2 linked regions of the Daphnia pulex genome follow. The protein of the gene in region 1 purifies or fractionates together with the protein of each later gene. This does not show direct contact. Links are inferred from orthologs where the notes say so. Each region holds a gene or a part of one and is shown in the gene's direction. Other genes may lie near its edges.

Region 1 (4,449 bases):
ACTAGATTGTTCTTTAAAGTACTGTAACACTGTAGAATCTGAGCTCTTTGAAGACTCGGAAATTAATTTGTTGACTGAATTAGGTGAGTTCTTTGTTAACAAATATTGAGCATCAATTTTTTGCTTTGCTGGAATAGCTTTCACAACTAATGTAGGCACAGTTTTCTTCACTGATATTACTGAAGGCTCATCAGATTTTAAGTTTTCTTGTTCTGTGAATAATAATATGGCACAATATTAAATTTTGTTTTGTACTCTTAAAATGTTATCTTACCTTGGTTTTCATTCAATGAAGTAGCCACTTCATTAGAATATGTTTCTGATGACTCACTAGACTGTTCTTCAAAGTGCTGTATCACTTTTTTAACCGAGCCTTTCGAAGCCCCAGCAGACTCTTTATTCTCTTCAGCTGCTAGTTCCAGCACAGTATTAATCCTTGTCGAACTATTATCCAAATAAGATCGAAAATCCACGTCTTTTTTGTCTTCTTGGTACTAGAGTAGTATGTATAAATCGCAAGAGTTAGAATCAGGTCTGCATAGCTCTTTGAAGAGAATTTGACATTAAAATACCTTAGTGAAGAAGGAACTCCAAAAATTATCTCTTTCTTGTAAAATTCCTTCCCAGCATTTTTTCAATCTGTCCATCGTGTTGGATTGTCATTTCATAGTTTCGAAATTATTGATCCATTATTTCAACAAGTAGGCCACTCTCTTAACACCAACAAGAACATAGCATCCGACGCTTTCGAGTTTTGAATTCACCTTTGCAACTTAATTTCGTCTGCTATAACTTTTGCAACAGTGTTTATCTGACAATTAGGTGATGATTGAAAATTTGAAACATATTATTCCAGAATATATGGATGAAGGAAAAATGTGGTGTATTATTCACAATTGTATCATCAAAATTAAAAATAAGAATCAAAAGACCCCAAGTAATTCCCTGAGGATTGCTTGTTTCAGGCAATCAAGAAAAATGAATTGCAAAAATTTTCAGCAGTTAATTCATTATCTTGATCCAATCTTTAAAACTGGATTTTTTTTGTATGACATGTAATCATCATATTTGAAGAATGAAATTTCAGTTTCATGTCTTACATCACTCTCCTTGAGTGTCCTTTCCGCTTTAAGGATGAGACCTTCATCATTCTCGTGGTTAATGACAGGATCATTTGTTTTAGCTCCATGTGCATGGTGCTCAATCTGTAGAAAACCATAGAAAAAACAACAAATACATAAAAATAGCAGTAAGATGTTATTCAAATAACCTTCAAAGTGTCATATTCGTATTTTCGAAAAGGTGGTGGCAGTCCCGGAGCAACACCCAACTCTTGAATTATTCTAGTTTTCAACTCTTCAGTTGTAAGGGAAAGTGGTACATTCTTTAAAACCACATTGCGAATGTTTCGATATTCAAACGACCGGATGACTCGAATAATGATCGTGGCTGTCTCCATTGATAAATTGTGCGGGGCAGTTTGTTTTGAACTGATGTGATGTTGCCACTGTCGAAATAGTTTAACAAATTTTGAATTATTACAGGGTACGCTTAAAATGTATAGAATAAATAGCTCATAATAGTTTTGAAAATTACACTCCCGACGAGGTCACACAATATTAGTAAAAGCTGATAGAAAAGAAGCAATTTAGTATTTTGGCTAATGATTCTATCTGGCAATGTTTATTTGTGCTCCACTCCTCCCCCAGTGATGACAGATCAACCGGCCACGTAGTAGAACTATTCAACAATCCTCACAACAAAATGGTTTAACATTAATACTACTTGTTTAAATCATAACAATTATTGAGCTAATTTCATGTTATAATTTTTTATAGCCGCTGAAACTAGATATCAAGAGAAGGCTTACCGCCCGTTCGGATCGCGTGAAAAGTGTCGACTTGCATCCAACAGAGCCATGGATGTTGGCCTCCTTGTATAATGGAAATGTGCATATTTGGAACCATGAATCACAACAAATCATCAAATCTTTTGAGGTAAAATGAGTACTTCATTGAATTCTTCCTTAATGACTTGACCATTACTTGCCCTTTTGTAGGTTTGTGACCTGCCTGTTCGTGCTGTCAAGTTTGTCCCAAGGAAAAACTGGGTTGTTAGTGGTTCTGATGATATGCAGGTATAGTTTTCTTGATGTCTTATCCATTTCAGATTAGATATAGTTTAATCCTCTTTAAATTGTTCCAGGTCAGAGTGTTCAACTACAACACACTTGATCGTGTGACAGCATTTGAAGCTCATTCAGACTATGTTCGTTGCATTGCTGTGCACCCCACTCAACCCTTTCTATTAACTAGCAGTGGTATGTAAATAATCTGTTTTTCTAACAGATTCAGTGTTCATACAGTCTTTCTTCATTTTAGATGATATGTCAATTAAGTTGTGGAATTGGGAAAAGAACTGGGCATGCCAACAAGTCTTTGAGGGTCACACCCATTATGTTATGCAGATTGTCATCAATCCAAAAGATAACAATACATTTGCTACTGCATCTCTTGATAGAACAGTCAAGGTATGTTTTTACGAAAATATTTTGCCAGAAATTTAACTTAAAATCAATTTATTACGGTCCCTCATTCAGGTCTGGCAGTTGGGCTCGAACACACCGAATTTCACTCTTGAAGGCCACGAGAAAGGAGTAAATTGCGTCGACTATTACCACGCCGGCGACAAACCTTACTTAATTTCAGGTGCAGATGATCGGCTTGTTAAAATTTGGGATTACCAGAATAAAACCTGCGTCCAAACTTTGGAAGGGCATGCACAGAATATTTCTTCTGTTGCCTTCCACCCCGAACTTCCAATTCTGCTTACTGGATCTGAAGATGGAACAGTCAGGTAAATTTATTATTCTCTTTATTTATTTTTTAGTCAAGTATACTATTTTCTCTAAATCGTAGAGTATGGCATTCAAATACCTACCGGTTGGAGACTACTCTCAATTATGGGCTGGAGCGTGTCTGGACCATTTGTTGTTTGCCTGGGTCTAATAACATCGCTTTGGGCTACGATGAAGGATCTATCATGATTAAATTGGGCCGAGAGGAACCTGCAATGTCCATGGATCAAAGCGGTAAAATTATCTGGGCCAAACATTCAGAGATCCAGCAGGCCAATCTCAAAGCGCTGCCGGACTCGGAGATCAAGGATGGAGAACGTCTTCCTCTTGCCATCAAGGATATGGGTGCATGCGAGATTTACCCTCAAACTGTCGCTCACAATCCAAACGGAAGGTATGTTTGCTAACTGCTCATGGCATAGAAACCAGTAAATAATAAAATTCCGTTTCATAATAGATTCGTCGTTGTTTGTGGTGACGGCGAGTACATCATCTATACAGCTATGGCTCTGCGAAACAAAGCTTTCGGTTCAGCTTTGGAGTTTGTGTGGGCAGTGGACTCATCCGAGTATGCTGTTCGTGAAAGTGCCACGTCGGTCAAAGTTTTTAAGAACTTCAAGGAAAAGAAACAATTCAAACCAGAGCTGGGAGCCGAAGGTATATTGTGCATAGTAATTGAAAACAGAATGAAATATTGATTCTAATTAAAATTTTACATTCACAGGAATCTTTGGTGGAGCAATGCTTGGGGTCCGGTCTACCAACAGCTTAGCTTTTTACGAATGGGACAATCTGACACTGATTCGTCGGATTGAGATCCAGCCACGTGGTGTGTATTGGTCGGAAAATGGTGAATTAGTTTGCATTTCTACCGAAGACAGCTATTTTGTTTTGCGTTATGATGCTGATGCCGTGGCCAAAAGCCTTGAAACCAAAGAAGGCTTGACCGACGATGCCGGAATTGAGGTGATTTTATTTAAAGACAAAGTGTTAGTACATTTTTAAAAAATATTTTCTGAATGTTTAGACGGCGTTCGAAATGTTATCTGAAGTGCAAGAAAGTGTTAAGACGGGACTTTGGGTGGGCGATTGCTTTATCTACACCAACAGTGCCAACCGATTAAATTATTACGTCGGTGGGGAAATTGTCACAGTGGCCCATCTCGACAGGTATGGCTTGAAAGTTCACCATTCTTGCAATAATCAAACCGATACTATTAAACCCATGTGTAACTTTTGTTTCCAGAGTGATGTACTTGTTGGGCTACATTCCCAAGGACAACAGTCTTTACTTGGGCGACAAGGAGCTAAATGTAGTTTCCTACGGCCTGCAACTCTCGGTGCTTGAATATCAAACCGCAGTTATGCGACGAGACTTCGAAACAGCTGACCGAGTGCTCCCGTCGGTTCCCAAAGAGCAACGCACTCGAGTGGCTCATTTTCTTGAGAAGCAGGGATTCAAAGAACAGGCATTGGCAGTCTCCGCTGATCCTGAGCATCGCTTCGAACTGTCACTTCAGCTTGGTCAATTGCAACTGGCCTACCAACTAGCCTGCGAGGCTCAGAGTGAGCACAAGTGGAAACAACTTGCT
Region 2 (3,516 bases), on another chromosome or scaffold:
GCTTGCTCTTTGTGCTGTGATTCATCTCTGTTCGGCTTACTGAGATAGGCAGTATCAGATGTCGATTTTGCTTCTTCGTCGTTGCGCAGGCTCTTGTCCAATGCTATAAGGCGAGTAGTCAGTTTCTTGAGAGTTTTCTCTGCAACAGGCGTGCTGTCCCATGCAAAGGCAAAAACACGGAACTCTGGAGGAAGCGACATGAGTATCTTTGCCATTATTTGATTATCATCAATAGCTATGTTGAGGCTCTTCAGACGGAATGCTATCTGTTCCAACTCAGTCAGGAAGCTTGATACACTTTGGCTTGGTCGAAATGTGCATCCATAGAACTTTGTCCACAATAGAGGTGCATTGTCTGCGGCATCTTCTTCATACTCAGTCTCCAATTTCATCCACATCTCTTGGGCTGTGCTACAAGACATCAGGATCCTTGATTGGTCTTCTTTGATGGCGCCAAATATGTTCTGCATTGCCGTGGTATTTCTCTTGTTCCAGTTGGTTATATCAGCTGCATTTTCAATCACCTGGTCAGCATTGCGTCTCTGATTGTGGTAACAAAACGAGAAGATGGTTAGGTTTGTGATATCCATGGCAGCCTCACATTATCTCAATGTGGAATCTCCCTCACATCATCTCGATGTGGAATACCTCTCACATTATCTCAATGTGGAATCTCCCTCACATCATCTCGATGTGGAATACCTCTCACATTATCTCAATGTGGAATCTCCCTCACATCATCTCGATGTGGAAAAACACTCAGCTGTCTCCTAGATGCTTGCAACTCTAGCACACACTTGTCCACCATCATATGATGGAATTTAGCCAGAGTGACCAAACAGATTGAGAAAGAAACACAAAAAAAGAGAAATGTCCAGCAAACACAAACACACAAAAAACAAAATCAAGTGGCAGAGATTAAGCACTCACGCCGGGATCTAAGTTTGTCAATTTAATAGTTGGTACCACGCCACAGATAGGCATCTCATATCGCGTTGTTGTCAGGCACGGATCACACACATAAAGAAAACAATAAATCATCAATAAACTTACTTCAGCAGGTTGCCGTTGAGTCCCGTTCACGACTTCCCAAAGCTCAACACTTTGTAACGCCAGCTTCATTCCAAATTTCCAAGACGCGTAGTTTTTCCCATTCAGACACCATACAACATGGCGGCGGCCATCTTTCTCCATCACTCCAGAAAAGAATTTCTAATTTCTTGGGAACAGTTAGCCGGGGACACACACAAAAAAAATAATTGTTCAGACAGAGTAGCTGTTAGCTGTGCGTACAGCTGGGCCCATAACCTGTTGATATAGAAATTAACACGTGAACCTGTTTGCTGCAAAGAACGCTTTGTATTGCTACTCGCCTAGCCACAATCGTCAACAGCACTGAGTCCCCCTCTCTTATTCCTTTGTCTGGGTAGGTCCTTCTCCCCCTCTCTTCTTTCCTGGCTATCCTGCGTTGCCGCACTGTCCAGTTTGTTTATCTTTTATACTCAACAAGCAGTTCCTAGATGGCGCTAACGACTGGCCCTTTTGCTTTTTCCCGTATCTTTTAAAACAAAAATAGATTTATCTCGTTAATGGTTTGTGATCAGTATAGGAAATTTATAAAATTTATAAGTTAATTTTTTTAATGGTTAATATAATTTTCTTACCGACATAAGAATCGTACTCTAGTTGAAGTACTCCATGGCGATACTACGCGAAAGAAACTGCCAACGTAGCATACAGGACTACCGGTTGTCAAGTAAGAACAACTCATCAACATCTCGAACGGAACATTTTCATTCACCCGTCTGTACAACGGTTCATCTTATTTCTCTTAGCTCTTGTGTTGTGGTGTATTGCATATTGTATAAAGAAATGGATAACCATGTCCTGGTAATATAGCTACTTCTAGTACTACATTTTCTTTAATCAGCTGTGTCAGACCAACAACAAAATGATACATTTTTATAAAATTTCTTTAGGAACCTTCTCTGTATGTAATTAAAGGAATTGCAATCCTTGACAATGATGGTAAACGTATTCTTGCAAAGTACTATGACCCAAACACATTACCCACTGCAAAAGAACAGAAGGTTTTTGAAAAAAACCTATTCAACAAAACACACCGAGCTAACACGGAAATCATTATGCTAGAAAACATGACTTGTGTCTACAAAAGCAATGTGGATCTTTATTTTTATGTCATGGGAAGTAGCCATGAAAATGAGGTAAAAGATGCTCACAAGTTGTTCACAAAATATTAGTAAATTGGAATTTTTTTCCCCTTATTTAGTTGATCTTGGTTAGTGTTTTAAACTGCTTGTATGATTCCATCAGCCAAATACTTAGAAAGAATGTGGAAAAGCGTTCTCTAATGGAAAATCTTGATGTGGTTATGCTTGCTTTGGATGAAATATGTGATTCTGGGTATGGTTTCCATTCAAACATGTAATCATGACAAGTTTATCAAGATACTATTACCAGTTTACTATTGTGTTGCAGGATTATTCTGGAATCAGATCCCACTGCTATATCATACAGAGTAGCTCTTCGGAATGATGACATTCCAATTGGGGAGCAGACAGTGGCCCAGGTATGTTTGATAACTTAACTACTTAATCAGATATTTAAATAAGGTTTTTTTCAATTTAATTAAATTTAAAATTGAAATTAGTTTGAAATTTTCATTTTCCAGCAGCTACTTCTAAACTAAACAATATACATTTTAAAAATTACTATAATTAAGGGAGAAGATCAATAAATTCTTTAATTATTTCCGTCTGATTTTTTAGGTGCTTCAATCGGCAAAGGAGCAGCTAAAATGGTCTCTTCTGAAATAAGGATCTAAACTATTTCAACCACAATAAATTCCGGTCGTTGAATCATCCTTATCATTATTTTTCTCCTTTTCCAAGTTGTTCTATAAAAAAAATACAAATCTGTTCTGTTGATGCCATCTTTATCAAAATAGCAGATAAATAATTAAAATCAATCCACCGTATTAGAAATTAAATTTTTTGTAACTTGTAACACGCATTATATAACCTGATGGTGTGCTTGGTATTTTACAGCGATCTTTAAAAGATTGTTTTCATTCATCAAAGAATAGTTTGCCTTTTTCTGACATTTACTTCGGGTTTACAAACGAATGAAAGCACAAAAGAAATTTGTTTCTATCACAACAGAGATGTGAATTTCCAATATTTTTCAGGTTGCACTGTAATTTAGGTGAAATGTTCTTGGTTTTAATTCGGATAGAACGTTATTCTCTTACAGTACAGCTTAAGTACAGCATTACACCAACTAAAGTTTGCCAGTTCATTTCGAAGTTATTGATAACGTCAATCTTTCGTCGATTAAAAGGTAAAAAAAAAAAAAAAAAAAAAAACGTTTCACTCGTCGTGTCTTTATAACGATATTGAATTCCAGGCTTGGACAGAGCGCATCAGTTTTTCGCTCCGTTGATCTATCAGCGATAAGCGGTGATTTAATCGACCCAATTGAAAAGGATCGGTAACG

Evidence for each region.
Region 2: the proteins of coatomer subunit beta'-like (region 1) and coatomer subunit zeta-1-like fractionate together in Homo sapiens (co-fractionation; 6 studies listed by BioGRID and IntAct, with this or other methods). This does not show direct contact. The link is inferred for Daphnia pulex from reciprocal best matches to the Homo sapiens genes COPB2 and COPZ1.

The regions. Positions count from the first base shown.
Region 1 is NC_060017.1:7,292,039-7,296,487, forward strand, and holds the start of coatomer subunit beta'-like, read left to right. Parts: upstream 1-1,599; 5' UTR 1,600-1,764; coding exon 1,765-1,767; intron 1,768-1,838; coding exon 1,839-1,997; intron 1,998-2,059; coding exon 2,060-2,137; intron 2,138-2,205; coding exon 2,206-2,320; intron 2,321-2,381; coding exon 2,382-2,530; intron 2,531-2,599; coding exon 2,600-2,856; intron 2,857-2,918; coding exon 2,919-3,251; intron 3,252-3,314; coding exon 3,315-3,514; intron 3,515-3,581; coding exon 3,582-3,823; intron 3,824-3,884; coding exon 3,885-4,027; intron 4,028-4,103; coding exon 4,104-4,449. Other genes in the region: uncharacterized protein LOC124197376, read right to left, coding at 1-212, 275-494, 573-647. UniProt on the Homo sapiens protein: The coatomer is a cytosolic protein complex that binds to dilysine motifs and reversibly associates with Golgi non-clathrin-coated vesicles, which further mediate biosynthetic protein transport from the ER, via the Golgi up to the trans Golgi network.
Region 2 is NC_060024.1:1,294,680-1,298,195, reverse strand, and holds coatomer subunit zeta-1-like, read left to right. Parts: upstream 1-1,508; 5' UTR 1,509-1,698; coding exon 1,699-1,890; intron 1,891-1,979; coding exon 1,980-2,225; intron 2,226-2,290; coding exon 2,291-2,424; intron 2,425-2,499; coding exon 2,500-2,590; intron 2,591-2,789; coding exon 2,790-2,837; 3' UTR 2,838-2,946; downstream 2,947-3,516. UniProt on the Homo sapiens protein: The coatomer is a cytosolic protein complex that binds to dilysine motifs and reversibly associates with Golgi non-clathrin-coated vesicles, which further mediate biosynthetic protein transport from the ER, via the Golgi up to the trans Golgi network.